3 linked regions of the Elephas maximus indicus genome follow. The protein of the gene in region 2 interacts with the protein of the main gene of each other region in a pairwise test. Links are inferred from orthologs where the notes say so. Each region holds a gene or a part of one and is shown on either strand. Other genes may lie near its edges.

The links.
Region 1: the proteins of ARL15 (region 2) and PDE6D interact in binary tests that used the Homo sapiens proteins (3 or more experiments, as listed by UniProt). The link is inferred for Elephas maximus indicus from reciprocal best matches to the Homo sapiens genes ARL15 and PDE6D.
Region 3: the proteins of ARL15 (region 2) and UNC119 interact in binary tests that used the Homo sapiens proteins (3 or more experiments, as listed by UniProt). The link is inferred for Elephas maximus indicus from reciprocal best matches to the Homo sapiens genes ARL15 and UNC119.

Annotation. Positions count from the first base shown.
Region 1 is NC_064824.1:134,083,452-134,093,663, reverse strand, and holds the start of PDE6D (retinal rod rhodopsin-sensitive cGMP 3',5'-cyclic phosphodiesterase subunit delta), read left to right. Parts: upstream 1-5,551; 5' UTR 5,552-5,741; coding exon 5,742-5,791; intron 5,792-10,212. UniProt on the Homo sapiens protein: Promotes the release of prenylated target proteins from cellular membranes. Modulates the activity of prenylated or palmitoylated Ras family members by regulating their subcellular location.
Region 2 is NC_064820.1:57,615,301-57,625,848, forward strand, and holds the start of ARL15 (ADP-ribosylation factor-like protein 15), read right to left. Parts: upstream 4,865-10,548; 5' UTR 4,754-4,864; coding exon 4,706-4,753; intron 1-4,705.
Region 3 is NC_064837.1:23,332,137-23,343,062, forward strand, and holds the start of UNC119 (protein unc-119 homolog A), read left to right. Parts: upstream 1-6,728; 5' UTR 6,729-6,816; coding exon 6,817-7,042; intron 7,043-10,616; coding exon 10,617-10,730; intron 10,731-10,926. Other genes in the region: PIGS (GPI transamidase component PIG-S), read left to right, coding at 1-2, 273-415, 1,227-1,341, 2,439-2,584, 3,332-3,432, 4,242-4,452, 4,800-5,075. UniProt on the Homo sapiens protein: Involved in synaptic functions in photoreceptor cells, the signal transduction in immune cells as a Src family kinase activator, endosome recycling, the uptake of bacteria and endocytosis, protein trafficking in sensory neurons and as lipid-binding chaperone with specificity for a diverse subset of myristoylated proteins.

The sequences.
Region 1 (10,212 bases), on a different chromosome or scaffold from region 2:
CACCAGCAAGCCAGCTTTCTTGCTCTGTAGGCTGGGAAGCCCACCACACTGTCTCCTGCCAATCTCTCCTGTTGCCACTTCTCTGCCACCACTTCTTGCTGACTTCAGTGTTAGTGACTTCTCAAAGTCAGTCTCCTAGTTCCAGGAACTTCTCAGTGCAGGAATTCCAGGTTCAAAGGACATACTCCGCTCTTGACTGTTCTTCACTGGTGGTGGTGGGGTCCTCTCCTTCCTGCTTCTGGGATGGCTCATTTCAAGCCCAGTGGGATGGCAAAACTGACCGATCCCCTTGGTGGGCCACAATTACCCTACTTCCACAATCCCACCCAATCACTTAGGTGGGAGTTACCAGACCATGGCGAAAAAGGCCACACAAAAGAGATCCATCACACCACAGTACCCAATTTGCCAGTAGCAGAGACCAACACTGAGTCTTCGGTGCGGCATCATTCCTCCTGGTGATCTGGGGGCAGGTTGATTACATTGGGCCGCTTCCATCATGGAAAGGGCAGCGCTTCGTTCTTATTGGAATAGACACTTACTCTGGATATGAATTTGCCTTCCCTGCATGTAAAGCTTCTGCCAAAACTACCACCAGTGACTTACAGAAAACTTATCCACTATCATGGTACCCCACAAAACATCGCCTTGGATCAAAGGACTCACTTCACAGCTAATGAAGTGTTGCAGTGGGCCCATGCTCATGGAATTCACTGGTCTTATAATGTTCCCCCATCATCCTGAAGCAGCTGGTTTGATAGAATGGTTGAATGGCCTTCTAAACACACAATTACGGTGCCAGCTAGGTGGCAATACCTTGCAGGGTTGGGACAATGTTCTCCAGGAAGCTGTACATGCTCTAAACTAGCATCCCATATATGCTGCTGTTTCTCCCATAGCCTGGATTCATTGACCTAGGAATCATACACTCAGATTCTAGATGTCTTAGAAAATATTGCTGAAGACCAGACACAAAAAGGAGGTACCAAAAGAGAAACTGAAAACATCGCCAATAAAATGCAAATGCTAGAGTATGTATTTATGTTGGTTATGTGGACTAATATATTGCATCATTTTCATTGGACAAGTCAAGCTCTCCAAGATTTAGAAGTAAATTTGAAGACATGCACAGCTCTCTACCAGTCATTAACAGGGAATTTACGTAATTTAAGAGAAAATTTTGACAACACAACAAAACAAATCCTACTGAATATTGATTATCAAGCAGTTCACTGTTGCAGAAGCATTAGCAAGAAACAAATAAATGATGGAAGTGTTCCAAAATATTGTTGAGTGCCAGAGATCAATTTCATGTGACCACACACTACACCATCATTGACAAACTTGAATCTTGCAAGAAAAGAAGGGTGAAAGTATAGGAAGTTCTTTCAAATAGATTTTTCTTCTTAAACAACATGGATATACCTGAGGAAGAATGCATGGAGGCATCCAAGAAATTAATGCAGGCTTATCCCAATGACTAAAATACAAACCTTTACAGAGAAGCATGACAATCTCATTCTTACATGAGAACTAAGTTTACAGATTCGGGAAAGACAAATTTTACTCACGTAGGCATGTATGATTCCATAATAGAAGATAAAATACAATGCATATTTGCCAATGTTGAAAATTCTTTACACATATTCCTAACTTTAATGATCCCAAACTGTACAACAGAATGCTCATTTTCATCCTTAAAGAGACTCAAAACCCCTCAGCATACAACAATGGTTCAAGAAAGGCACGATTCATTATTCTTATTATGTATGGAAGTAGATATTGTTCAGCAGCTTAATTGTGATGAAATCATTGAAGAATCTGTAAGAGCAAAGAATAGAAATGTTTCTAATTATAACATTTTAGAGGTGAAATATCTATCTAAAAATAAAATAATTTGTTGTAATATGTTTTCTGATCGTTAAATTTTCTTTTATGACATCTTTTCATTTGTTCATTTATAATTATACCATTTATAACAAAACAAGCATCAGAATTGAAGTATGAGGCATTTAAAGCAAAATTAATAAGTCAATTTTTCATTGTGGGAGATCAACAGAATTTTACATTGATTGTTGAAACAACTAAGCTCACTGACTTATTTTCTTTGTTGTAAAGTACGTGGCATATTCTTTTTGTAGAAAATGTGGTATATAGTATAAATCTTAGTTCCCCACAACCACTCAATATTTTATAATCCAGCTCATCTCATTCCATTAAAGTGGCATACGCCACTTCTGCACTCCATATTATAGTCGCATTTAAAAAGAAATTACATCATGGATAGCTAAGACACACACACAGATATTGTTATTTTTAAGTGCCGTCTAGTCGGTTCCAACTCACAGCAACTGTCATGGATTGAATTGTGTCCCCAAAAAATGTATATTAACTTGGTTATGCCATGATTCCCAGTATTGTGTGGTTGTCCTCCATTTTGTGATTGATATAATTTTCCTATACGTTGTAAATCCTAATCTCTGCCTGGGGTTAATGAAGCATGATTAGATTACGTTAAAAAGGATTAGGATAGGGTGTAATACCCTTACCCAGGTCACATTCCTGATCCATGTAAAGGGAGTTCCCCTGGGGTGTGATCTGCACCACATTGTATCTCTCAAGAGATAAACGGAAAGGAAATTGAGCAGAGAATGGGGGACCTCATACCACCAAGAAAGCAGCACCAGGATCAGAACGTGGCCTTTGGACCCAGGGTTCCTGCATGGAGAAGCTCCTAGTCCAGGGGAAGATTGATGAGAAGGGCCTTCCTCCAGAGCCGACAGGGAGAGAGGCTTCCCCTGGAACCGATGCCCTGAATTTGGACAGGTAGCCTACTAAAAAAAAAAAAAATTTTTTTTTTTTTTTTACTAGACTGTGAGAAAATAAATTTCTCTTTGTTAAAGCCATCCACTTGTGGTGTTTCTGTTACAACCAGTACTCGATAACCAAGACAGCAACCCTATGTACAACAGAACAAAACACTCCCCAGTCCTGCACCATCCTCACAATCTTTATGCTTGAGCCCAATGTTGCAGCCACTGTGTCAGTCCATCTCGTTGAAGGTCTTCCTCTTTTTCACTGACGTGCTATTCTACCAAGCATGATGTCCTTCTCCAGTGACTGGTCCCTCCTGATAATACTCCCAAAGTATGTGAGACAAAGTCTCGCCATCCTTGCTTCTAGTGAGCATCATGACTATACTACTTCCAAGACAAATTTGTCCTTCTGGCAGTACATGGTATATTCAATATTTCTTTACTAACACCATAATTCAAAGGCATCAATTCTTCTTTGGTCTTCCTTATTCACTGACCAGATTTCACATGCATATGAGATGATTGAAAACACCATGGTGTGGTTCAGGTGCACCTTAGTCCTTAAAGTGACATCTTTGCTTTTTAACACTTTGAAGAGATCTTTTGCAGATCTGCCCAATGTAAAGCGTCTTTTGATTTCCTGACTGCTGCTTCCATGGGTGTTGACTGTGGATCCAAGTAAAATGAAATCCTTGACAACTTCAATCTTTTCCCTGTTTATTGTGATGTTGCTTATTGGTCCAGCTGTGAGGATTTTTGCTTTCTTTGAGGTGTAGTCCATACTGAAGGCTGTAATCTTTGATCTTCATCAGTAAGTGCTTCAAGTCTTCTTCACTTTTAGCAAGCAAGGTTGTGTCATCTGCATATCTCAGGTTGTTAAAGAATCTTCCTCCAATCCTGATTCCCTGCTCTCCTTCATATAGTTCAGCTTCTTGGATTATTTGCTCAGCATACAGATTGAATAAGCATGGTGAAAGGATATAACCCTGATGCACACTTTTTCTGGCTTTAAACCATGCAGTATCACCTTGTTTGGTTCAAACAACTGCCTCTTGGTCTAAGTACAGGTTGCTCACGAGCACAATTAAGTGTTCTGGAATTCTCATTCTTCACAATATTATCCATAATTTGTTATGATCCACACAGTCAAATGCCTTTGCATAGTCAATAAAACACAGGTAAACATCTTTCTGGTATTCTCTGCTTTCAGCCAAGATACACCTGACATCAGCAATGATATCCCTTGTTTTACACCCTCTTCTGAATCCGGCTTGAATTTCCGACAGTTCCCTGTCCATGTATTGCTGCAACCGCTTTTGAATGATCTTCAGCAAAATTTTACTTTAGTGTGATATTAATGATATTGTTTGATAATTTCCACATTCTGTTTGATTACCTTTCTTTGGAATGGGTACAAATATGGATCTCCTCCAGTTGGTTGGCCCAATAGCTGTCAAACAAATTTCTTGGCATAGACGAATTAGCACTTCCAGCGCTGCGTCCGTGTCTTGAAACATCTCAATTCGTATTCCATCAATTCCGGGAGTCTTGTTTTTCGCCAATGCTTTCAGTGCAGCTTGGACATATATATATACCCATTGCCCTCAAATGGATTCTGACTTATAGCGACTCTGCAGGACAAAGTAGATCTGCAGAGTATCACATCTTTCTCCTGAGGAGCGGCTGGTGAGTTCAAATCACCAAACTTTTGATTAACAGCCCAGCGCTTTAATCACTGTGCCTCCAGGGCTCTATCATATATAGATATAAATCACATATCCCGATAGAATGTGTGAGTAAACAGAGGAAGGTGCACCACAGATTGTCAGCATTCAGGGCCCTCATATGCCTTAACGCGGCCCTGGACTCAGGGCCAATCTAACTCTGTCCCAGCTTGCTATGACCTCTGGCCATTGTCTTCACCTCTCTGGGCCTCAGTTTCCTCACATGTAAAACAACAGGGGTTAGATTAGCAAATTCTCTAAAGTCACTAACTGTATCGATATTCTGAGTTTACAATCCATATATTTCCCAGGCCAGTGCATGAACACACCAGAATCCCCTGCAAACCACGTAAAAGGCGCCCCAGACCAACATACAAGCACAATTTGAAGGAGTCATTTCGTTAGTCTCATGGTTAAATCAGTGTTTTTGTTTGTTGTTTGCAGCCTTACCGTGATTTGCAGGAGAATGCTGAGTTTCATGTAAAGAGAAGTTAGTTCTTTGTGGGCTGTCATTTTCATTTCAAGGGGAAGAGGGTCTTCCTGCCCGGTCTACAGTCTCCGATTCCGAAACCAGAGAGTCCTGACGGCGAATTTATGAATTTGCAAACCCTAAGAGGGACATACAGACGAACGGGGTGCAGGGAATGCTGGGATCTGTAGTCCCTGGGCCTCTTTGTTGCGTGCCGGGATCTGTGGTTCCCGGCAGTGCCCCTGGAATGCTGGGAAATGTAGTCTCAGCCGCATCGCTTAGTGCAACCTGCCTTCATCTCAAAGCCCTGCTGTACCCAGCGGCAAGAGCAGGCCCCTGGAGTCTCTGAAGCCAACATTCCCCTGGGACAAACTCCAGGCAACAACTCCAAGTGAAATATTTGTCCTAAGGGACGTCCCCGGGAGGGCTCTTCCCACTGGCGCTCCCCATCCCCCTGCGAAGCCGCTGGATGTCATTATTGGTTGATCAGGATGCCAATCGCCGAGGCGGGCTTTCCATTGGCGGAGGGGCGGGCGCTCGGAGGCTACGGGGAAGAAGAAGGGATAAGGAGCGGGAGCTGAGGGGAGAGAGAGGCCGGTCCGGATCTGGCCGCTGCCGCTGCTCGCCCGAGGTCTCCAGGCCGGGCTGCGGCTCCGTCCTCGGCTCCTCGGCATCATCTCCGAGGCTCCGCCGGGCCAGCGTGTGAGAGCCGCGGGCGGCGGCCGCCGCATCATGTCAACCGAGGACGAGCGGGCCAGGGAGATCCTGAGGGGCTTCAAACTGTATCCGCCCGGGAGCGGGGCGGGGCGGGGCCGGGAGGACTGGGAGGCGGCCGCCCCCTGAGGAGACCAGCCGCGCGGGGGCCGCGCCGGGTGGGCACCTGAGGAGAAGGGCGCGGGAGGGGCGAGCACAGGACCGGCGTCCCGGACCCCGGCGGGGACCGGCGCTGGAGGCGGGCCGAGGGGCGTCCTGAGGGAAGAAGGGGACGTTGACGGGAGCCCGGGGGTGGAGGCGCGGGAGCCCCGGGAATTGGGCCGGGGGAGGCTCCGGGCGTCGGAAACGGGTTTCGGGAAGGCCCGCTGGGTTCTGAGCTCCAGCCGGGACCCCGAAGTCGGACAGGGGCCGCGACCCGCAGCGGGTGGGGGCGCGGTGGGCCCCCTCGAAGCCCAGGAGTCTCGTTGGCGGGAAGCCCACGGGGGGACGCGGAAGGTGACTTGGAGCGAGTGCCCTGGTGTGGGACAAATGCGAAGGCTTGTGTTCCACTCTCCGAGCCCCCTGCCCTTCCCCGCCCCCGCCTTGTTTCCACAACTTCTCTTCCTCACTTGTGGCTTCTCCCAGGGCCGGAGGAGAGGAAGGTGGGGCAGGAGAAGTCCTACATCGACCTCATCTAACTCTGTCTTGGCCTTTTGAGGCGCTGGATGGCCACTGCTTCTCCCCTCAACTCTTCCGTTTTCTTTCCAGAAAAAATGAGGACCCTAAACTGTGTGTGAGATAACTGGATGTGCTTTGGGGTTTGCCCTGGGACTCCTAGCAAAGGTATCTTGGCTTGCTCCTGTGTTTCCGAAATGCGTAGGCATGGTGGAGCTGTCCAGCAATGAATTGATGACTTTGGGGATACCGTAGGCTATAGTAGGGTATAGAAATCATTGCCACAGGCCAGTTGTGACACCCCTTTCGTCACCTTCTCTCTTTCGTGCAGTAAAGAAGCTTTGTGTTTTCATGGAGTATTAATCTGTAACTATATGATGCGGATGAAAAAAATGCATTCTTGTATGTGGCAATTTTACGTTTTCCTGCTGACCTTAAAGTGTCCTTACATCTAATCCATACAATGTGAAATAGTGTAAAATTTCTCTCTCATTGAAAAATGTAGTCATCACTTCAGGGCTCCCCCCACCTGGGAGGTTTAATGGAGCACTGGTCTCTGAGCTGCCTGGTGTGTTTTCTCAATGCCCATTTCACCCCTGCAAATTTGAATTGTTTGATCATCATCAGAAGACAAGTTGGTAGTAATTTTTAGGACACAAAATGAGAAAAAGGTACAGGAAGTCTTGGATGTACAAATGACATTTTTTAAATGGAAGTGGACCCAGTATGCTTTTTTTTTTAATTGAATGCTGTATCACTTTTGCGTGCTGCTGTTCATGATAAATTTTTATTACTTTTCCATAGTGATGTTTAGTGACAGCCTTTTCTTATATGCTCCATGTACCTTTCTCTTGTTAATGAAGCCTGTAAGTAGATAAGGATGACTGTAGTGTTAGAAAAGCCCGGACATGAGTTTTGTTTTTCCCTTAAGTAATTTATATTGTTCTTTAACATGTATGTTGTAGACAGTAAGCCAGAGGGTATGGAAAGTTGACAGATCTCAGAAACAATACTTTTGTCTGATTGGAATTAGCTTAATGCTGAAAACAAGAAAGGGTCTTTTTAATGACTTCTGAACAATGTGGAAAGGGAAAGTTTGAGCTTGTCACCTTCAGTGTTGGCCCTTGAACCTGTTGAGAAAGAGACTGAGAGACAAATATGGGAAAATAGTAGAAAGCAGAACCTGTGTCAGCCACTAAAAGAAAAAGTGGATTAACCAATTCAGTGATGACATCAGTGCGTCTAGAAAAAGGCTTTCAGGGAAAGTTTGACCTGTGCTGACAAAATCCTGAAGCTCAAAGGAAACAGCCACATAAAAATGTTAGCATGGGAGTGATGCTTTACTTATCCTTTGGTAGCTTTTATTGGCATCTGAGGATTAAGAGAGAAAAAGAAAGAAGGGGTTTTAGGATTTGGTAGTACCTTCAAGAAAGAATAAAATTAATGTTTTAGTAAGTTTTATTACTACAGTAGAAAAGCTCCATTGTATTCTCCCAGCAACAGTGTTGGTGGTTCTCATTTTCCCATATCTACTCTGTCGGTCTTTATTTTCCCCCAATTCGGACAATAAATGATACCTTGTTTTAGAGTATATTTCACTGGATTTCTAGATCCCTGGGAAAGTAATTTAAGTAAGGTTTAAGAGCCTGAACTACTCTAGAGATACACTGCATTGGAATCTCAGCCCTGCACCCCTGGTTATGTGTCCCTGAGCAACTTTTATAACCTCTGCCTCAATTTCGTCAACTGAAAATGAGGATAAATAATAGTACCCACCTCATAGGGTTGCTATGAACATGAAATGAGTTGGTGTCTAAACCTTTTAGAAAAGTACTTGGTGCGTAGTAGGCAATATGTGCCATTGTTGTTATTATTACTATAAAAGTTGCAAATCTGTTTGATCATTTCTTTTTCTTCTGTTGACTGCTTATTGGTATTGTTTTTGCCCATTTTACTATTGAATTGTTTATTTTTCTTATCGCTTCATAGGTGTTCTTTATACGTTTTAGTATTAATCCTTTGCCTGTTAGGTGGTGGTACAAATATCTTCTCTCAGTGTATTGTTTGTCTCTTTTTTGTTATTGTTGAACAAAATTTTTAAGTTGTTGTCAGATTTATCAATATTTTCCATATGGCTTCTGCATTTTTGTGTCTTGTTTAAGACAACCTTCCTTATCCCAGTATTAATGAAATATGCTCTTATGTTTTCTTCTCTTTTTAATTAGCTCTTTAATCTGTTTGCAATGTCTTTGTATGTGTGGTACATGGTAAAAATCTAACTTTTTCTGCTGTTTAGATAGCCAATTGTCCAATACTGTTTGCTAAGTAATTAGTCCATTGTCTGCCCACAGCTTTGAAATGCCATCTTTATCATATACTAAATTTCCATAAAACCAAAAACCAAACCAAACCCCTTGCCATCCAGTCGATTCTGATTCATAACAACCCTATAGGACAGAGCAGAACTGCCTCATAGAGTTTCCAAGGAACACCTGGTGGATTTGAACTGCTGACCTTTTGGTTAGCAGCCGTAGGCATGGTTTTATTTTTGGATTATTTTTGTTTCATTGATCCATTTGTCTCTTCCTGTGCCCGTACACATTGGCTTAATTATTACAGTTTTATTATATGTTTTAGTATAGTTAACAGTATGAGCAAAGTGTGTGTTTAAAGTCATATTGTAAGGTCTTTATAAGCGTTTATGTCTCTATTATTCACACAGAGCCTTGCCTATATGCCCATAGTAGATACTCAAAAAGTATGAATAACAGTGTCTTAATCAGATATTGTCTTTGTGTCTGAGAGAATTCAGTATAAGCTTTTATACTTGCCTAAGTTATTTCAAAAATACATCATTTTTAAGATTTCTTTCTTATATCGCCTTCACCCCACCCCAGCTTGTACACGTTAAAAGTCCTATATTTCTTTCTTGTTTGTTAAAAGCATAACATTTCCTAAATTGTAAATTAAAGTTATAAATGAAATGTGATTTTCCTGCAAAGGTTTTGGATTTGATTATCTTAAGTAGCTGATATAGAGATTGATGTTTGTATCCTCCTTTCTTCATATCATTACATTCAGCAGTTATCTGTTGGGTGATGATTATGTACAGGACACTGTGTACTTGAAGGATACAAAAGTCATTTGGTCACTGTCCCCTCCTTCTAGTTTAACCATTTTTATGTCATTTTGGGAGGGATATCTTCAAATGCAATGCATTTTTAAAAACAGTGTTTAATATTTCTAATACAAATTCCAGCCACCCAGTAATAACCGTTGTTAACATTTTAATGTCTTAATATAGCTAATATATAATATATTTGCTTTTATAAATATGGAATCATAAATATTATTTTATAACTTGCTTTTTTTACTTAATACATTTGACATGTTCATAATTTTCAGGGATAGTTAGAGTGACGCATTTGTCACAGTCCTCTTATACAGCACTGTGTTGCCTATTTACTATTCAAATTACTTTTTCCTGAACATAAATATATAACTTTTACAAATTAGTATCAAGAAACTGACAGATAGGCTTAAGAAAGAATTATGCTTTTATGGTTTCATTTTCTTTAATTCATCTGGAATTTGTTTTATTTGTATAATATGAAGTAGTGATCTAACTTTTTTTAATAGTTAGCTAATTTTCCCCCATGTCTTTATCTATATTCCAGATATTTATATAATATCCAAAACATAAATCACTTCCTGCAAATCAATAAGATAATGAACTCAAAATGGACAAAAGATACAAACAGTTCACAGAAGAAAAATACAGATGACCAATAAATAAAGGGATGCTCAACCTTACTAAAACAAGTTATTCCTTTTC
Region 2 (10,548 bases):
ATACATGAACATTTTATATTTCAAAAGCAATGTGTTGTCTATAAATCACTTTCTCATTTAATCATCATAGGCATTATACGGAAATATACCAAATCTTATTGCTGTTTTTTTGATGGCAGAAGGGGGAAAAAGGTGAAATCCAGAGCAAACCAACCGTAAGTCAAGAATAAAAAGAAACTTATGAACTGAAAGGAACCTCGTTGCTGATCTTGTCCAACCTCCCAGGAAAACCTGGTTAAACATGTTTTTCTCTTTCATTATAACTGGACTATGTTCTCCTACCTTATTCAAAAAGCTCTGCACATCATCTTACTAATTCTACCTGTCAGAAGAGAAATGGAGCAAGATGCTGGTACTGCCTGTTAGAACAGCAACAAAACCTTTCCTTTCAGGCTTGACAGGTATGAACACGGCCTTTAAACCTCATTATGGAGAAAAAAAAGGAAGGGCCGGTGTGTGTTCTCCTAGGAAAATTCCTTTATCAACTGGCAAAAAGAGATCTTGATTTTTAAATTGCCACCCAGGCTAAACAAATCACATCTGATAATCTCAAAGTTAAGAGTAAAGAATACCTTCTGCATTCCACAAAACCAAACGCCTAATCCAAATAGATTTTATCTTGGCTCAGTTTAGAAGCTGGTGAGAAAAAGTAGAATTGTCCCTTCATGTCATATCCATTCAGTTCAACAAATAAATGTCCTACCACGCGCCAGTACCATGCTAGGCAGGCGGTGGGTGATACATGTAATTATTTAGGATTAGCCAGTTACCACATATTTCCCTGAACTAAATGCATTAAAACAAAAGTTACCATAGAGTCGATTCCTACTCATGGCGATCCCATGTGTTCCAGAGCAAAACTGTGCCCCACAGGGTTTCCACAGCTGTGACCTTGAAAGTAGATCACCAGGCCTTTCTTCCTAGGTGTCTCTGGACAGATCTGAACCACCAACCAGTTGGTTAGTAGCCAAACAGTTAAAAACCCTGTCTTAAACATTAAGGGACTGTCCCTCACTTTATCTATCATCTCTAAAGAAGAGTACTTCTTTTAAGTTAAGAAATCAATAGCAACCTCTGAAATAGATTCTTCATCTGTTTTAGGATCTCAATCCTATTAAAAGCTGTTAAAAATAGCACCTCCATCTTTCTCTCACTTTTCTTCCCTTCTGCTCTCCTCCACATGAAAAGGTTAAGTGATGATATCCAGTCCAAAGAACAATGGACAATGCATACACAAAGCTCCCTCCTTCAACTTCCAACAGCAGCAAGAAAGTCAAACACGGATTTAAGAAAAAGAAGACACACACCATTATTCCTGTCAAGTGTATAAACAGGGCACTTACTCTAGTCCACAAACTCAGCAAAATCTGAAGAATCAAACTTGTAATGAAAAGAAGCCTTTTTTCTAAGTAGTAAGTGAAAGAAGTACAGCCAGAGCCCTCCTTGTAAACAAAGATGGCGAGACTTCATCTCACATACTTTGGACATGTTATCAGAAGGGACCAGTTCCCGGAGAAGGACATCATGCTTGGTAAGGTAGAAGGGTCAGTGAACAAGAAGAAAACCCTCAATGGCATGGACTGACACGGTGGCTGGAACAATGGGCTCAAGCATAACAATGACTGTGAGGACAGCGCAGGTCTAGGCAGTATTTAGTTCTGTTGTACACAGGGTCACTATGAGTGACTGACTTGATGGCACCTAATAACAACAAGTAAAAGAACCTGGGAATTAGTTTAACTCTAAAATAAGATCACAGATACTGTCAAATAAGTTTTTATTTTTCAGAAATGGGTTTTTCATAACCATCATAAAGGTTCTGCATGAGGAAACAAGTCAATCTGAAAGAAGAAAGCAATGGTCTGTGGCATATCATTTTCTCTGAAAGTTAGTAGGCAAAACGTAAATACAAAAAGATCACCTCAGGAGGAGTGTTTTTGTTTGTGTGTGTTTTTTATTTTTTCAGTCCAATCTCAGTTAAAACTGGGCTTAATGCTTAAGGATCTTCTTAAACCTTTTGATATGAGATACTTTGCACACTCAAACACTGAACTGTTTCCTTTATGATTTATTTCCTCACCTCCAATAATCATCCAAATAATGCTTTGTTGAAGAAGAACTGACACATTTGAATTAGGGTATTGGCAAAGATATACTGTGGCCTATAGAAGAATGAACAAATCTGTCTTGGAAGAAGTATAACCAGAACACTCCTTAGAAGTCTGGATAGTAAGAACCTCTCATGTACTTTGGACATGTTTTTAGGAGGCACTGATCTGTCTTGGAAGAAGCAAGGATGCTCTTTAGAAGCAAGGATGGCAAGACTGCGTCTCACATACTTTGGACACGTTGTCAGGAAGGATCTGTCCCTGGAGAAGGACATCATGCTTGGTAAAGTAGAGCATCAGTGAAAGAAAGGAAGACCCTCAATGAGATGGACTGACACAGTAGCTGCAACAACGGGCTCAAGCACAACGACTGTGAGGATGGTGCAGGACCACAGGATCAGTTGTATGAGGGGTCACTATGAGCTGGAAATGAGTCCATGGCACCTAACAACAACATTGCTTTGTTATTTTTTATGGGAATGTTACACCACACTTGTCATTTTTTTAAAAAAGCAAAGTTAAGGTAACAAAATAATGATTTTTTAAAACAAGCTAACCTAGTGTGGGGGGCGTGACAGGTAAAACACGACAGAATGTCAAGTTTGGGATCCATTATTTTGACACCAAACTGATAGTAAGCTGGCAAAGAAATTAACCTACTTTTTGGGTAAACTGGAGCCCCACAAACATTCATCTAAACCCTGGTGGCGTAGTGTTTAAGTGCTACGGCTGCTAACCAAAGGGTCGGCAGTTCAAATCCACCAGGCCCTCCTTGGAAACTCTATGGGGCAGTTCTACTCTGTCCCATAGGGTCGCTATGAGTCGGAATCGACTCAATGGCACTGGGTTTGGCGGTTTTTGGTTTATCTAGAGGTTAATCTGAATAATTAACCAGTGTTTCAATATTGTTTTCACTAAGTGTTTTGGTAGGTTTGGCACCTCAAAGATAGCTTTGATGCAATTTGTACATTTAAAACACACTTAGTGCAAAAAGAAATTAATAAAATGATCAGAACCACTTGATTTTCTCTTTAGGAACTAAGTATCCAAAATTAGCTTTGAATAGTAGGGGTAATGTTGCTCTTTCCTACTCGGCAATTATCCTCAATAATTTTGGCTTTAATTTGGGCATAGCGCTGTATTTTACAAGACAAGCTACAAATTAACCAGTTATTTAACTTAGAAAATAATCTTTCAGTCACATTAGGCAACTCTCTTAACCTACAGGGCACTTTACATTTTACAGCATGCTTTTTATCAGATAATACGCTTAATGGTAGTGGGTGGATACCGTCCCTCTATCACAAACAGACGAAGTTAGTGCCATCACCAAAAGAACAACAAAACAGAATTTGAACTCGGAATTTTTGACTCTGGTGAGCGCTCCACCTACAAGGTCAAGTTTTAACTGCAGTGATGATCCTCCCTCAGGAGAGCCATACAGCTTTAGGGGAAACATATTCTTCATGTAAACTAAAATAAGCCCAAGTACACTTAACAACACTACAAAGCCAGTCATTGTCCAACATTCCTTTATCAGGAAAGCATCCACAGTCTTTCTTAGTACAGCCTAAAGTGTAATTCCTAGAAGGCACTGGCAAATCTCTGCCAGGCCAGCCTGCAGTAGAAAACCCGTGCATGTGTCCAACAAGATGACAGGAGGGCCAGTGTTTTTAACTCTGCTTCAACTCAGCCTTGCAATAGCGGTTCTGGCTCACACGGTAAACATAGTAATTGCATAGGATTTGACACAGCCAATGTAAATGCCGATTCCCTTGACCACAGACATGCAGCTCTGGGGAAATATAATTTCTGGAACAATACATGGTACTTGCATAATTGCACAAACGCACAAATCATTTTTTAAAATAATGTTCAGTCTCAGCTCTGCGCTGACACTTTTCCCACCTAAACTTCTCAGTACAAGCCTGGCCTAAAAGCACACTAGGGACCCAATCCATGCACGGGGTAAAAGCAGCATGCACCCACGATCTGAGCCGAACGGTGGGACAATGCCTGCCCAGTCCTGTTCTGGCCGGGTTGCGATGGAGTTTACTCCCGTCTACTTTATGGTAATGTTCTTTTAAAACCCCGCCGCGACCGAGGTCATAGCTTTAGGGATCTAATAACAACCAAATGACCAAGGCTGCCAGGCACTTAGTGAGCCATTCTGGTTATAGCTCTTTAATAGTACCTGGAGTTCTGCTGGAGGGAAAGCGGAAAACTCCTGCTTCCCCGGAAAGAAGTCCCTTACGGGGAGAGCAGAGTGAAGCAAAGACACCGACCGCGGGCAGACGCCCCGCCGCCGCGGCCCCATCTCCCCGGCAGCCCCAGTGCGACCCTCGCCCCGCAGCCCGGCTGGCCCCGGCCGCACCTTTACCTGTCAGTCCCACCATCCCCTCTATGCTGCTGCCCCGCGGCCCCGACGGCCGCCTCTCCGAGTCCCGGGCACAGCTTTTCAGCTGGCTGCAGGAGAAAGAACCCCAAAGGCATCCTATCCCAAAGAAAGAAAAGCAAAGAGGCTGCTCCTCCAGGCGGAGGGACATGGGGCACGTCGGAAGCTGAGAGGCGACATGCCACCCCTGTCCCGCACCTACCAGATAATCCATGTACAGAAACGCCTCAGTTATTCGGAGATCAGACATCCGGCAGTCTAAAGCATCCGGAACGGCTCCGAACCCGGAAAAAAAAAGGAGCGTCTCTGGCTGCGAGCAAGCAGCCCCTGAAAAGCCAGCAACAGCGAAAATAGCCGAGAGCAGCCGAGAAGACGAAGATTACACAAGGGGCGCGGCGATTGGCCGGTCGCGCGAGAAGAAGGAAAGGCTAGTGCTGATTGGCTGCGGGGCCTATAAAAGGCAGGCCAGTGCGGGGGGCTGGAGAGAAGCGCGGGAGAGGCGACGCTGCTTGTCTCGGTTCGGAGGGTGCAGGGCAGGCGTAGGGCGGCGCAAGCCGAAGAGCCAGTCGGGAAGAGCGGAAAATCGGCAGGTGCTGCCACCGCCGGAGTTGTGTGTGCTTCTGTAGCCTCCTGGTTAGATAAAGCGTAGCAGAGCTCTGTGCTCCTGTACCAGGGAATCTTGGAGTCCCTTCCAGCCCTCCCCAGTAGGAAGCAAGCGTTGCAATGTGGGAGGCGAGGTAGCCACAGACACTTAATGTCTCTTTTGGCAGCGCTTTCTTAAAGGCTCTGCCGTCGCGAAACGGGTACTGCCGGGACGAGAAGTGTGGAAGAGCGTACTTCGTGAACAGGCAAAACTGTACGGGATTCGGGACCCGGAAGACTCCGCCTCACCTTCGTCTTGTGAAACTGCTAAGGCGGACAACTGCTGCCTGATGTCCCTGGGCGTGCACACGCGACACACACAGGAGGCGCCCTCTTATCTGAACTCCAGACTGCCGCCTGCCTGAGAACTCTGTCCACCATGTGAAAGAAAAAAAGTTTAGGGATTCACTGTTGTCAGTTGTAATTCTCAAACACTTGGGAAGAAGAACTCATCAGTTTTTGGCAAGCTTTAAGTCCAGTTACACTGAGCACAAATACAACGCCTCTGAATAAAAGGAGCAATAGAAAAAGAAGCTCTCCGAAAAGATCCGAGTAAAGTAACACTTGTGACCCCATGTCATTTTAAAAGGTAAAAAAAATATGTATGGAGAGATGCACTTGAGACTTGTGCGTTTCTTTAATAACTGGGAAACTGGCATTGGGATTTCACTAATGCTTTGAGCTGAATCAAGTAAGAAGCTGAATAAGAACACTGGGGCTTCAGTATATGAACAACTACACTATACCAGACAACATGCAACATAACAGAGTGAGGTGATTACAGTGACCCTAAGGCGTTAAGGAGAATGGAGGAGAAGGGGATTGCTCTCATCTGTATTATAATTAGAGCTTCCATACAATAACGTTTCAAGAATGAAACATCAACTAAAACCTTTCTGAAGTGATCGCCTGATTGTTTAAATGTTGTTTTACCCACAGCCATCCAGTGGATTCCAATTCATAGTAACCCCATTGAGCTTCTAAGGCTGTAAATCTCTATGGAAGCAGATTGCTATATCTTTCTCCTGCATAGCGCTTGGTGGTTTCCAACCAACGACCTTTAGCTTAGCGGTGGATCACTTTAACCACTGTGCTACCAGGGCTCCTGACACCTTCCCTTTTTGTATCCCCAGGTAATGAATTTCCAGAGAATAGGTTTGTCTGGGGCTGCCAAAGCCATTCTACTTTTAAGTAGCAGTGGAATTTGCCTAACCATGCAGATAAACCAGGGAGAGTGCAGCCCCTTAGAAAGAGCACAAGGTTGATGAGCCACCTGACTTTTGAGTATGTTATCTAATCTCTCTGAACCTCTTTCCTCAACTGAAAAATGAGAATTCCTACCCCCAGGGTATTTTTGAAGGAACTAGAAGACTGAATATACACAGCACAGAGCTTGGTGTAGAGTGGCTTTATGCCTATCAAGATTACTTTGTTGATTCAATTTACAGATAAGGATGTGTGTATAAATAAAATACTTCTGAAGAAATTCTAAAAGATCTTTCCCCCTATGCAGGCACTAACTAGATTTAATTTTCATTAAGCCGTGAGACCAAATTTTGATTTTTCTTGGCATTCTGTTGTTAAACACGTGCAGGTTTAGAAGAGGTTGTGACCTGGATTCTGGAAATCATGGATTTCCATAAACCCACAGACTTCAGGATGGTACAAATGGTTAAGAGCTGGACTGCTGTATGACAGGTTGACAGTTCAAACCTACCCAGAGGTGTCTCTGGAGAAAGGCCTGGCGAGCTGCTTGCAAAAGCCTTGAAAACCCTACGGAGCAGTTCTACTCTGCACACATGGGGTCGCCACGAGTCAGAGTCCGTCTGCAACTAATAACAACACAGCCTTCAGTACAGTTGGTTGAAGCTACTGTAATTGCAAAAGTTGTTCTCTCATACTTGATAGCAAAAAATAATTCAAACAGAAAAGGAAATTGTTTTTCCTTCTCCTTTCCATGAATAAAACATATTGTTAGTAAGATAAAGGGGGCAAGCTAGCAAAGAGACACCTTTTGGTCTGTTGCCTTAGTGATGAATGATGTCTTGACTACTGCCAAGTCAGAATTTTGAGAGGCCTGTCAGTTTATGCAGGGGAAGATAACCATTCAGGGGAAGCTGGCTTCTGCCTTTGCTTCAAAAACTGACCTTAAAGAAAGACAGTCCTTCTAAACAGAATGTCATTAGGTGTCTTAGTCACCTAGTGCTGCCATAACAGAAATAGCGCAAGTGGATGGCTTTAACAAAGAGAAATTTATTTTGGTAGGTTACAAGTCCAAACTCTGGGTGACGGCTCCTGGGAAGGCTTTCTTTGTCAGCTCTGGAGGAAGGTCTTTCTCATCCATCTTCCCCTGGACTGGGAGCTTTTCTGCTCAGGAACCCTGGGTCTAAAAAATGTACTCTGCTCCCAGTGCTTCTTTCTTGGTGGTATGATGTCCTCAACTCTGCTTGCTTCCCTCTCCTTTTATCTCTTGAGAAATAAAAGGTGGTGCAGGCACACCCCAGGGAAGCTCCCTTTACCTTGGATCAGGGAGGTGACTTGAGTAAGGGTGGTGTTACAATCCCACCCTGATCCTCTCAAAATAAAATTACAATCACAAAATGGAGGACAACCATACAATACTGGAAATCATGCCCTAACCAACTTGATACACACACATTTTTGGGGGGACATAATTCAATCCATGACATTAAGCTGCACATTGTTCATTCTGCCTCAGAAATTAATAAATGGGCCCAAAACAGGGAAATGAAATAGTTTGTGCAAGGAAAATTCCAGAGTCTACTCCACTGTTTTTCCCTTATTCTATACCATTTTTATGTTCATTATGACTGACATCAAGGAAATTTTTGTGTTTGATGTAACTATTAAAAGAATTATAGATTGCATTTTGGAAGTGTCCTTGTAAAAAATCTGTAGTTTCAAAACTGCATATGGAGCACATTTTCCAGTTAGGTGTTAATCTTCTGGGCTGTTAATGTTTTTACCCTTGTGCAGAGGAAAGAGGCTAACTTGATTGTGTTGGCATGAACAGATGATACACTGCACGCTGTGTGAAGCAGCTGTCTTAGCTGATCTGTTGGTAGCTACAGCAGCCTGGTAATCACTCTAGTGTAGACTTTAAAAAAAAAGAGAGTGTACGGTGGTTAGAGTACATTCATTCAACCTACTAAATGCCAAGTAATGGACTGTCATCTTGAATAAGGCTTGATCTCATTTACCTCGACCTGCCCTTGCCTGGTGCCAAAGAAAATGTGTGTAAATTCATGGGGCAATTGCATTATTAAGCCTCTACTGACAGAAAAGCAGTGGTTGCACATGAGGTCCATTAGCCAGGTGAGTCTCCCACACGGAAGGTAAGAATTGTACCACTGAACCATCACTGCCCCCAGTCTTTCTTTGCCTCTCTTTTATAAGGACACTTGTTACATTTAGGCCCGTAGAGAAAAGCCAAAATCATCTCTTTCCCCATGCCAAGATGCACAGCTTAATCACATCTGCAGAGTCACCTCGCCATACAACACTTGATGCCCTAGGGATTGGGCCATCTACGTATTTGGGAGCCGTTGTTCAGCTACCACACTGATCTTATCATGATATGCAGATAAAGCACATACCTCCCTGAAAGTCCAAAGTGGCAAGCACACTATGAATACCTAAAGAATCAGAAAAGTGGGGATAAACTCTCGATCTTAGAAAGAATTAGATTTCTTAAAAATTTTTAATGCAGTCCCAGGACCCTTTGTAACCCTCTTTATACAATCCAGTTACTTCTCTTCTGACAGGTGAGTAGGATTATCGTCCCAAAGTGTGTCATCTCCCTCTATTGTACTTTTGGTCTCCACTTCTTTTGAGCACTGTTATGGATTGAATTATGTCCCTCCAAAATATGTGTTGTTAATATGACTGTGGTTATAATCCCATTTGAGAATGAGTTGTCTTTGTTATACGAGGGTAAGCCAAAAAGCATTACTACAAAATCATAGAAAACTTTATTGAACAAAAATATCAAAATGTGAAGCTATTGTTTCTCAGCATATCCTCCATCTAGGTCTATACACTTCTGAAGGTGAAGTTTCCATCTCTCTAACCCTTCCCGGAAGAATTCTGCATGTGACTATTTACCATGTCAAAACAGCAGTTTTGGCATCCTCAAAGGACTCAAATCGTGTTCCTTTTAAATGTTCTTTGAGTTTTGAAAACAAAAAAGAAGGCTGAAGGAGCAAGATCAGGGCTGTAGGGTGGACAGGGTAAGGTTTCCCAATGAAATTCTCATAGGACAGTCCTTGCTACCCTTGAAGAATGAGGCGGTGCATTGTCCTGATGGAAAAAAAGCCCTCAGTGCAAACTTCCTGGCCTTTTTCTCACCAATGCAGTTTTCAGTGTTCTTAAAACTTCTTCATAGTAAGTCTCTACGATTGTCCTGTGTCCTTTGTAATCCCAAAAAACAGTCGCCATAAACTTCTGAGCAGTCTTCCCTCTCTTGACTCATCTTTGAGGTCTTCCCAACCTTCCTTAAAATGCTTGATCCATCTAAAAACTTTAATGTGGGCCAGCATACCCATAAACTTGTTGCAAAGCTTCAATGATTTGAAGAGATGTCCACCTGAGTTTTGTTAAAAATTTGATAATAGCCTTGACCTCAAAATCGTTTTTTCCCATGACACAAAAAGTATCCTTTTTTTTTTTTTCTGAAGTCACCCTGACGAGACTAAGACAAGTATATTACTGAGAAAACTTGTCTGCAACCATCCACTGATCACGGAGACATGTTTAAACATGTTTTGTTTGGAATAAACCCATGCATGTATGAACTGGAATGCTAGTAACAATACTTTTTACTTACCCTCGTATTAATGAGGCAAGATTAGTGTAGGGTGTACCTTGAGTCAGTCTCTTCTGAGATATAAGAAAGACTAAACAAGTGAGCAGAGGAGAGATGGGCTTAAGATAGATTCCAAGACACATGGAGGTGTCCAAGGAACCAGGAAGCAGGAGCTAAAGTGACAAGGACTTTCCTCTAGAGCTGACAGAGAGAGAAAGCCTTTACCTAGGGCTGGCACCCTGAATTCAGACTTCTAGCCTCCTAAACTGTAAGAAAATGAATTTCTGTATGCTAAAACCACTCATTTGTGGTGTTTTTGTTATAGCAGCACTAGATAACACAAGACAATCACAGCCAAGGTTTTAACTTTTTTTGAGACCCTCTCCTCTCATTTCCTTTACTTCTTTGCCCATAGCTAAAGTTACTACTTCATAACAATTTTTTTCTAGACCAACTGGTTTAAATATGAATATTATTTCCTTCCTTCAACATTTAACTGTGGATTTCTTATAAACAAACAAACAAAAAAAAAACTATATACACACACACAAACTCATTGTCATCAAGTCAATTCCGAC
Region 3 (10,926 bases), on a different chromosome or scaffold from region 2:
GGGTAGGGTGACTGGGCTTCACCATGGGAAGGGAGAGGGAATAAATCATGTGGTGGCAGTGAGACAGAGGGGAATTCACACACAAAACCCTTACTCCTTTATTCTCCAGTCTCAACTTTTTCTTAAAGCACTAGTTTTATCCTCCCTTTGGGTCCCTGGTGGCAACCAGCCCCAGTCAAGAGAAAAACAAGTTCACCTCAGCCAGGGGTATAGTCTACCTCTGTTCCTTGATCCCCAGGAGCCTTCTGATTTCCTTGACTCCTGTTCTATAGGCTATGAGATCACCTTCAGTTTACTCAACCCAGACCCCAAGTCCCATGACGTCCACTGGGACATTGAGGGGGCTGTCCAGCGCTATGTGCAGCGCTTCCTGAATGCCCTCAGTGCTGCCGGCAACTTCTCTGTGGACTCTCAGGTGAGACTGGGGAGCAAGGTGAGGAGTTTTCCTCCTGGTTGCACCATTTTTTTCAAAGTCCCTACATATTTAGTGTTTATAAGTACAGCCTATACCTCCATCTCTTGGAGCTTGCTGATTTGCTAGAAATTTCCTGTGTGTGTCAGCATCATGAGGGGAGACACTGGTCTGTGTGGGTGACTGTGTCTGTGTCTTGAGGGCAGCTTCTAGTGTCTTTACTTTCCCTTCTTGATGCCCAACTTGCGGGAGTCCCGTGAGTGCTTGTTAACTAGCCAGCTTCCGGATGGCTCTCTCTAGAACTCTTTTTGCCACTTGTGTCTTGGTGTTATGCCATCAGCCATCCTTCAGGAATGTTATTTTTAAAAAAACTTCCTGAAATATGTTAATGAAGCTACAATAAAGATACTGCAAAGAATGTTGCTGTTTATATCATACAGTGTCCTTTTAGTGAAAACCTGTGGGAGAAATTTTTATCAGGTCTTGGTAGTGGGAGACCTGAATAACTGGCTTGATTTTATCTTATGAACATTGGGATATGTTGCTCTTTGTTTCCCTCTTTGATTAGGCTGGTAGGAAGCTTGGTGAAATACTTGGTTTTCAAAGGGTATATCTAGTGTATATTAACTTTACCCGTGGCTTCATTGTTTGTTTTCCCTACAGTTATTTTCTCTCAGCCCTATGATTGTTTTTTATATTATGCCTGGTACTAATTTTATCTTTTTAAGCCACCTCAAATCTTTTTTTTTGGGAGGGACAAAGTAGAATATAATTCAATAAACAAAATAATCCCCCCCCCCCATTTGCTCCACAGATCCTTTACTATGCAGTGTTGGGAGTCAACCCCCGCTTTGACCCAGCTTCCTCCAGTTACTACCTGGCTGCTCACAGCCTCCCCCATGTCATCAATCCTGTGGAGTCGAGGCTGGGTGAGCTGATTTGAGGGCTCTTCTGCCAGGCCAGGGAGGGACTCAGGGCCTAGCCTGGGGTTGGAAGAGGGTTGTATATAGTGATGGTTTCCAGGCTGGGTTGCTCTGAGGGGTGGGGAAGTGCTGGGATTAAGGCCCCTTTTTCGTAATGCTCTGTTGATATCTCCATCCCTCATATCCAGAAGCATTTATTAAACATGATTCCCAGCACTTTTTGTAGATAGATATGCTGGGTCTCCATCCCTGAAAGCCATCTAGGAAAGACGGGCTAATGGGTAGGAAAGATGAGCTAATGGGTAGGAAAGACAGACAACAGCAAAAGTACATGGAGACTGAATTTGAATTGACGGCTCTGCTGATTGAGGTTGAGGAACCTTGAAGCCAGGATTACAGTTTTTCATTTTTGGGGTAGAGCCTAGGAAGGGTAGGTGTGACCAAGAATTGTCATGCAGGCAAACCAAAGTGGGTATATCACTGATTGTGGAATTTCTGGCACCAGAGGCAGGCCATTGTGGACCAGGGGTATGTGAGGGGCAGCACTTAGCAAGTTCCTTCTCCATAGAAGGATGTTGCAGGTCAAGGGAGCTATGAGCTTAGATGCAGACGAGTCAGACAGCATAGGCATTCAGTGAGCACAGAGTAGTTTAGCGTGGCTGAAATGATGATGCTGGCAAGGCAAGCAGCAAATACCAGACTGTTCAATAAGGACCACATTATGGAGTTTGATATTAATGGGTAGACTTTAAAAAAAATTAAGCAGAGAACTGACTTGAGATCAGATTCATACCTGTGCTTAAAACTAGGTATAATAATGTGGGTACAGTGTGGCAGTGGCCAAGAGAGCAAAGGGGGTCTCTTAAAGAAGATTCCAGGGGCATTTTGGGACTTAGGACCACACTCCATCCATCTGGCACATCTTGGGAAAATACTGAGAGGTCCTACACCACAGAAACCCAAGACTGGAGGATATCCCAGAGAGTATTAGTTGGGGAAACTGAGGCCCAGGGTGGGTGACCAGTGAGTTAGAGGCTGGCTTGGAGCTAAGATCTTGGTCTGGTGTGTTTGGTGTTCGATCTGCTCTTCTCTCTGTCCCACAGGGTCCAGCGCTGCTTCCCTCTACCCTGTGCTCAACTTTCTACTGTACGTGCCTGAGCTTGCCCACTCCCCGCTCTACATTCAGGACAAGGATGGGACTCCAGTCGCCACCAACGCCTTCCACAGTCCCCGCTGGGGAGGCATTATGGTAACAATCACACTGCAGACCCCAGTGCCCAAGCTTCAGGGATAGACAGATGATCCCTGAGACCGTTCTTTCTGTTGCCTCAGGTGTCCTCTGTGGCCTAGTCTGCGGGAGAGGCAGGCACCAAGGAGGCAAGGGTGCTGTGTGCTCCTGTCCTCCCTCTGCCAGCACCACTCTCTTGTGTTTGCCAGTGCTGATTGATGGCCAATATGACCCTTTTGCACTTGGCAGTTTGCACTTATTTAGGACTATTCTGTGAACATCTTAGGTCCTGGCCCTATTTGTGGGAGTCTTGCAAGGTTAGGAGCTTTGCCTCCCTTTTAGCCTGGGAGTTTCTCATAGCTTAGAACTATAAAATAAGATTTAAAAAATGTATTTGACAGGACGTTTGAGGGAATAATTGAGGTACTTTATGTAAATTCCTAATAGTAGTTGTTGTATGCTGTCAAGTTGATTCTGACTCATAGCGACCCTATAGAACAGAGTAGAACTGTCCCATGAGGTTTCCTAGGCTATAAATCTTTATGGGAGCAGATTGCCAGGTTTTTCTCCCTCGAAGCTGCCAGTGGGATGCCATTTTTGCTTAGCAACCAAGCACTTACTCAAAAAGTATTAGCTATGCCATCAGTTTTATAGCTTCCAAAGAACAGAGACTGTGTTTTCATTTTCTCTCATGACCTCCAGAGTGCCTAGGGAAGAGCTGTGCATAGTCCTGATGTAGTGTTATGGTGATCTCCTTCCCCCTTTCAGGTATACAACGTTGACCCCACAGCCTACAATGCCTCGGGGCTGCCGGTGAAAGTCGAGGTGGACATGGTACAAGTGATGGAGGTGTTCCTGGCTCAGCTGCGGTGAGGCCCTGGGTGTTCCATTCGGAGGGCATGGCCACTGAGAGACTGACCACAGTCTCCTTGGCTCTAGAGGGGGATTGCAATCAGAATGAAATCTCCCTTGCCAGGGATACCTGGGCTATGCCTAGAGCCACCAGGAAGCCAAGAAAGCTTTCCAAGAATTGCTTCATCCTTTTTCTAAGTAGGTCTGGTTGCTTGCAAAACCCAATTTAAGAAAGGTAGACATGAATGTCAGGTCCATGAGGCATGATTAGTTGTGCTTAAGAAAACAGCTATTAATTCATTGTACTAATTGATTGATTATGAGAGTGGCTGCCTGAAGTCCTGTGTGTCTGGCCGCATCAGAAAAAGAGTATTCTTCTGATTGATTAGCAATGTCTGGCATGGGTATAGGACGAGAGGCATAGCACACATACCTTTTTGTTAAAGATGGTCCTGGATCATCCCTTAACTCTTAAGTCCCAGTGGCCCCATTTGTCCAAAGAGAGGGTAAGGAAGGGTGAGGGGGTTAAACTCAGTTGGTGTTATCAGAAGTTTTTTAGCCCTGGAAGCTTTCTTCAAACAAGGTCTTGGATGGCCAATATAGAAACAGGTGAAAGTGGAAACACTCTGGGGAAAGCAGGGTTTGGGGCTCTGGATTGCTTGGTGGTGTTGCTCACTCTTCAAGACTCTGAGACACTTCCCCACAACCCCTATGGTTCAGGGTAAGATTGAAGTCATTGACTTAGGGCAGATAATCCAGGAATCTTAGCCATCTTCTCCCACCTTCTGGTCTCAGCCACCTTGATCTTACTTGGCTGTTCCTACAGACTGCTCTTTGGGATTGCTCAGCCCCACCTGCCTCCCAAATGCCTGTTTTCGGGGCCTAAGAGTGAAGGGCTAATGAGCTGGGAGCTGGACCGGCTGCTCTGGGCTCGGTCAGTGGAGAACCTGGCCACGGCTATGACCACCCTCACGTCCCTGGCCCAGCTTCTGGGCAAGATCAGCAACATTGTCATCAAGGATGATGTGGCATCTGAGGTACGTGGGCAGGGACGGATTCTGTGGCCTAGAACTGGAGAGGTCAGTGAGGGCCAAAGTATATGGTGCAACCGGAGAGAGCCATCTGAGGTCCAGGGTGTGTGTGAGCATGCCATCCTTGAGTGCCCCAGGCTTCCTCTAGAGGGCAGTGCCAGCCTCAGGAGTCCAAATGGGAATGAGAGGTTTCAAGCAGACCCTAAGAAATACACACATAGCCCTTTTATACTGACCTCCATTTATCCTGGGTGAACTCCAGGCAAACTCCCTGGTAGGCCAAAGGCAGGTTAAAGGCCAGCCCCTTCCCCACCATGCCTAGGACTTATTTTAACCCTCTCTCTCCTTCCTAGGTTTACAGGGCAGTAGCTGCAGTCCAGAAGGCAGCAGAGGAGTTGGCCACTGGACACCTGGCCTCTGCCTTCCTTGCCAGCCAGGAAGCTGTGACGTCCTCAGAACGTGCCTTTTTTGACCCCTCACTCCTCCACCTCCTGTATTTTCCTGATGACCAGAAGTTTGCCATCTACATCCCACTCTTCCTGCCTATGGCCGTGCCCATCCTCCTATCCCTGTTCAAGATCTTTCTGGAGACCCGCAAGTCCTGGAAGAAGCCTGAGAAGATAGACTGAGCAGGGCAGAATCTCAGTAGGAGCCCTTCTTTTCAGGCCAGGATGGGAGGTGTTAGATTGAGAGGCACATAAATCGGGCCTGCTGCGAATGACCTGTTTCCAGCCTCTGTTGCCTTTCCAGCAACCGAAGTGCAATACTCCAAGATGGATTCATCTTCCCTTTCCATTCCCCGGGCTCAGGTCTCCCTGCCTCCCCACTCCTCATACTCTCCGGAGTGTCATAGTAGCATCACCTCGGTCTCCTTATCTGACCTGAACTTGAAGATACCTGACTACCTCCAGCTGGGGCAAGGACAGCTTGTACTTCTACCCTGTTTCTCAACATAGCACACTCCTCTTGTTACCGAGAAGGCAGCATGAGGGAAAGCCCTGGTTGGATCCTTCCACCCTGCACAGTTTTCTCTAACCCCTCAGGGAGAGCCCCAGCACTGCTTTGCTGGAAGGGGCCCAGGCACAGGTCACTCGGGGGCTCCTCCCTTACGCCTCTCCTTCCTGGCTTGCTGCGCCTGTTGGGTACAGCCAGACAGACAGGAGTCCAGAAGGCAGCAGCTCAGGACTTGGTGCTGTGTGTGGCAGAGGCTTGGGCGGTATGGTACAGTGGAGAAAGTTCCAGAGTTGAAATCAAAAAGGCCTGAATTCCTTGCTTCTGCATTTATCATCTAGTGAGCTCCCTCATTTGTTAAAATGGCACTAATGACACCTCCCTTAACAAGGTTGTTGTGCAGATTAGATGTGATAAATCATGTGAAAGTGTCTGGCATCTACTAGGCTCTCAATAAACATTGGTTGAATATGAATTGAAATGATATGAAGTATGGCTATACTTTTAATTCTTCATTTACGTGTAAGTAATCGTTTTCTGGCATCTATCTTCCTGGGCTCACAGGTCCACCTTGCCTCTATCTGGCCATGTGCCCTTCCTGCCCCTCTGTCTTGTAGGGCTCTGGTGGCCCGACACCTGGGCCGTTGTCCGTCTGGGTGTCCTGGGTTGCCCAACAAGGCTGTTAGCAGCTACGTCTGCTTTTTAGCAGGGAACTGAGAGAATAGCTTATACCAGTGAAAGCCCTCAGGTACTAGCTCATTCAACAAAGGAAAAGTTATTGAGCACAGGCCTCAGTGGGCTTCTGCTAGGTGCTGGGGCCATAATAGGGAACAAAACAGTCCGCTTTGGCTTAGCTGGTCTTTGAGGGGGAAGAGACTGAGCAAATAAAAATAGTTTCAGTTATGTATTAGAAAAAAATGAACTAATTGGTTAATGATTGGGGGCGAGGGGGGTGTACTTTAGTTTGGATGTGAGGTATGGCCTTTGACATTTAAGGTGAGACCAAAAGGACAAGAAGAGGTCATATAGGGGGAGAACACCCTGGGCAAAGACTCCAAGGCTGGAGTTCGCTTGAGGACTGTAAGGGCAGTGAGAAGGGCACAGGGACTGGAGCGCAGCGTGGAAGGAGAGGTAGGCAGTACCTCCCTGAATTACCTTCCAGAAAATGAATGAAGCCCAGGGCCAGCCCTCACCCTAGCGGGGATGAGAGCCCTGGTGGGCGGTCCCCAGACTCCCGACCCCGGTGGGCCCTGCGCGTGGGCGGAGTCAGTGCCGGACCCAGCCCAGAGGAAGGGCCGGGGGGCCGGGGCGGAGCGGTACCTGGGGCCCCGGCCGGGGCGGGGCTGCGGCCGCTCACCCTTCTCCCGGCTCCAGCTGGCTCAGGCAGCGGCGGCGGCGGCGGCGGCAGCAGGCGAGGCCATGAAGGTGAAGAAGGGCGGCGACGGGGCCGGGACGGGGGCGGAGCCCGCTCTAGGGGCCTCAGGCCCGAGCGTGGAGCCCAAACCTGAGCCGAAGTCGCAAGCGGAATCCGAATCCGGGTCCGAGTCGGAGCCGGAGGCAGACCCGGGGCCCAGGCCGGGGCCACTGCGGAGGAAGCAGCCGATCGGGCCGGAGGACGTGCTGGGACTACAGCGGATCACGGGCGGTGAGCACCGGCGAGGAGCGCTGCCCGCCGGCTGCAGGGAGCAAGAGCGAGAAGGGGGACCCTCTCGTTGCGCGGGGCCCGGCCCCCGCCCCCCTTCCCGGCTCTCTCCCCGCATTCCCTCCCCCTTCTTGGCCCCCTCTTCTACGTTTGCTTCCCTCCCTCCTGCGTCCAAGCCTGAGGTCTCCATGGCCCCCCTTTCTTTGATCTCCCTGGGTACCCCTCCTCTCCCTTTTGAGGTATATTATTTTGGGGGACGGGTTCATTCCCTTTCCCATGGTGAAGGTCGGGCAGCAGCTGCAACTATGGCCCCTTCCCCGCGGAGTCCTCAAAGCCCCTTGAGGCCTGGCTCTGCACTGATGAGGAGTGGAGTGAGTGTAGCCTGTCCTCAGCCCCTGCCCCTGGAGGCTAGGTGGAGACTGAGCTGCTTAGGTGGACTCAAGACTACTGAGGTCTTCCTGACCATTAATGCTGTCACCCTGGACCCCCCCCAGGAAGACTGGGGCCATCCCCCACCCCGGAAAAGAAACTGAATGGGAAGCCTCAATGGGTTGGCTCTGGGTCCTGACAGGAGTGGGTTAATGCTGGCGAGCCTGGGCCAGGATCTGTACTCCTTCAGTGCTGCAGGACTCCAATCAATGGAGACCTATTCTCCACTGTGGTTAAGAGTTTCTGAGCCAAACTGGCTGGATTTGAGTCCCAGCTTTGTCACATAGTTGGCTGTGTGACCTTGGACAAGTAACCTCACCTCTCTGAGCATATTTCTTCATCTGTAAGATGGGTTTAATAACATCTACCTCATAGGGTTATTGCGAAGATAAAATTAACCTTCTGACTTTACACAGTGCCTGACACACTGCTTTGTAAATAGGGCTCTTTTGTCAACAGTACTGAGGGTACCACACAGGCTGTTCATGGCTGGAGGCAAACTGGGCATTCAGGCATTCAGGAGGTCACCATGGGCAAGGGACAAGGGCTAGGGGACTTCATGAAGGAGGACGTGGCAGAGTCTGGAAGAACGAGAGGCATTTGGGGAGGCAGTAGCTCTCCACCTTGGCTTCATTCATCAGCTGCCTGCTCTGGCTCCCTCTGCGACAGCAACGGTTGGGGCTCTTTCTATGGGGGTGGGGAACAGGCATGGGGACCTGAGCCCTGGAGCTGCAGAAACAGCAGAGCCTAAGGCTCCCAGACAGAGCTGTGGAGGGGACCATGATGACGGGCCTGGGCCTGTGCAGCTAGGTCTCTGGGGGTCCAGCTCTTCCCTCCTCTCTGAGCCAGGCAGCAGCCATTCTTGGCTGGGCCCCTGGAGGGCTGAGCTCCCTTGCTCAAGCGGGCACTGGTGGAGGGAGGGGGTCTGAACCAGGTTGATGTTGATGCCAATTGGGCTGTAGTTGGCAACAGCAGCATTTAGGGTTCAGCTTATTTCTGGGGCAGAACTTCTTCACAGAATGTCAGGAGCTCATGCTGACCTGTTTGGCCTGCCTGAGTTCTTTGTAACTACAGGGAGCTCCCAATCCACGTCCCATGTACCGTGCGTCTCCTCTTGTGAAGGAAATTCATAGCCCATAGAGACAGGGCATCTGTAAGTAGGGGAAGGGATTCATGGGAGCTCTCCCCTCTGCAGAATTGAAAACAGGGTTCCAGGGCTGTCTGCCCTGGCACTCCCTGCCTGGTCCCTTCTGACCCTAATCACACAGGTCTGAGGCTTGCTGTTCCTGGATTATCGGGCCCTGAATCCAGCTTAGGAAACTATTTGTGGCTGAAGCGAAGAGAGGAGTTGTGCTCTGAGCCCCGCTTCCCTCTTGTTCTAGCCTGACCCTGAGTGCCAGGCCTCATCCTTCCCTGGCAGAAGGGAGGGAGTGGCTGCGCTGTTCTCAGCTATGGGCATCCCCCGCTCCTCACTTCCTGTAAGGATGAAGGGGTTGATAGGTTGAGTTTGCAGTCGGAGAGACTGAGTCAGACTGCAAGAAGTTGTTACAAGTGAGAGGAGAGGCCCCAGAAGCTGGAGAGTGGGGAAGAAGAGAGGGCCTTACCAGGGGCTGGGAGCTGGGTGACTAGGATCCAGTTCTCAGCTTTGCTACCTCCTCTCCCTCTGCCCGGTGCCTTCTTTCTACATCTTTGGGCTAGTGCTTTCTGTGATGACAAGGTGTGCACAGGCTGGGGATAGGGACTGCCCACTGCTATTCCCTTCCTTTCTCCTCCTGGGCTGTGGTGGACAGGCCAGGGCTCAGGCCCCTCCTCAAGCCTTGTGTAGTCCCTGCTGGGCCCCAAGGTGACAGATGGCTGCCAGGAGGGCTTCCTGGAGGGAGCTACCCCAGGCTTGGGGAAGAGGCAGGCTGGGAAAGAGAGAATGACTTTATATTCACTTCCTCTTCCTGCCCCAGAGGAATAGGAGGTGGCCCAGGGGCCTGGGGGGTGATTTCCGGGCCTCTAGGGGAGGATGTGGTGCTGTGCGGGCTGAACTCACTGCGCCCCCCACTGCACCTCTCTGCCTCTCCCTATTTGTTGCCAGGGCCTCTCCAAGCGCTTCCAGTTGCTGCTGCAAGAGCAGTGATGGTCAGGGCAGGACTGGCCTATTCCCAGAATTCTTCAGCAGGGCCCAACCACAGCTCTTGGTTCCCTTTCTGGACCTGAGAACTCCCCTTACCCTCATCCACACTCCTCACCACACCTGCCACGCCCACTTCCTGGCCTAGCTATGGGGTGGGGGAGTACTCTTCTCTACGGGGACTGGCTCAGAGCCAAGGCTGCATAGATGATCTTCAAGGGGGGTTCCCTCTGTTTGATAAGACTTCCTCCTATTTGGAGGTCAACAGAGAATGGGAGCAAAGTTGGCCCCCTTTCCCCCAATATCCCAGGCTCTGGGCCTGAGTCAGCAGAGCTTTGGCTAAGCTGCTTAAGGGAGCTGGGCTTGCATAAGCTGCTTATGGGGAGAGGCGGGGACTGGGGGAGTGAAGAGGACCAGGGAAAGGGTTGTTCATCTGCCCCAGAACCACCCACATCAGGGAAAGTTCCCTCAAGATCAGCCCTTGCCTGACACATCCACATGTAGTGCGAGGGGCAGCCATGAGTGGGGCTGGGGGGTCCTCCAGAGAAGGACTGTCTCTCTCCCAAGGCAGAACTGTGTCACCCCTTCAGAGTGAGGTTCCCAAGGCAGGTCTGTGTCTTCCCATTTGTGCTGGGGGATCCACATCAGATTGAGACCCATTTGGCCCAAAGCCCCCCAGCCAGCCCTGGCAGGGCAGAGGCTGGAGTAAGGATCTTCAACACCAGGATGGGAGGGAAGATGTGGGGAAAGTGGCTGTGTCCTCTACCCATCTCTGCCCGGCCCCTCCCTGACCCCCAAAGGCCACTAGGATGGGACTGTTGGTTCCCCATAAGATCCCAGTGGCAGACTCATATCTCTCCCACACTGAGTCGGGGGTTTCCCCAGGGCAGGGTCTTAATTCCCTCCTGAAAGGCAATACCCCTAGGGGTGAGAGAAAGTGGTAGCTAGTCAGGGGTCCCCCAGAAGCTGAGCTGGCAGGAGGGGCTTCTGGGCAGGCTCCTTCCTTGCTCAGTCGCCTGCCTCCCCTAGACTACCTGTGCTCCCCTGAGGAGAATATCTACAAGATCGACTTCGTCAGGTTCAAGATTCGGGACATGGACTCAGGCACTGTCCTCTTTGAAATCAAGAAGCCCCCAGCCTCAGGTGAATGGGCTGGGTGGGCCATTGGGGTGGGAGGTAGGCAATTGATAGAAGAGGCTGCCCAGGGAAACTTGAGGCCACAGGGCAGTCAGAGCAGAGCAGGGTTTTGTACTCTAGCATTCTTGGGGGTCTCCAGGCAAGGAGACCTCTGCCTGGGGGTGGGTCCCCTTTTTCTTCTCATCTGTCTGAGGTTGGCATC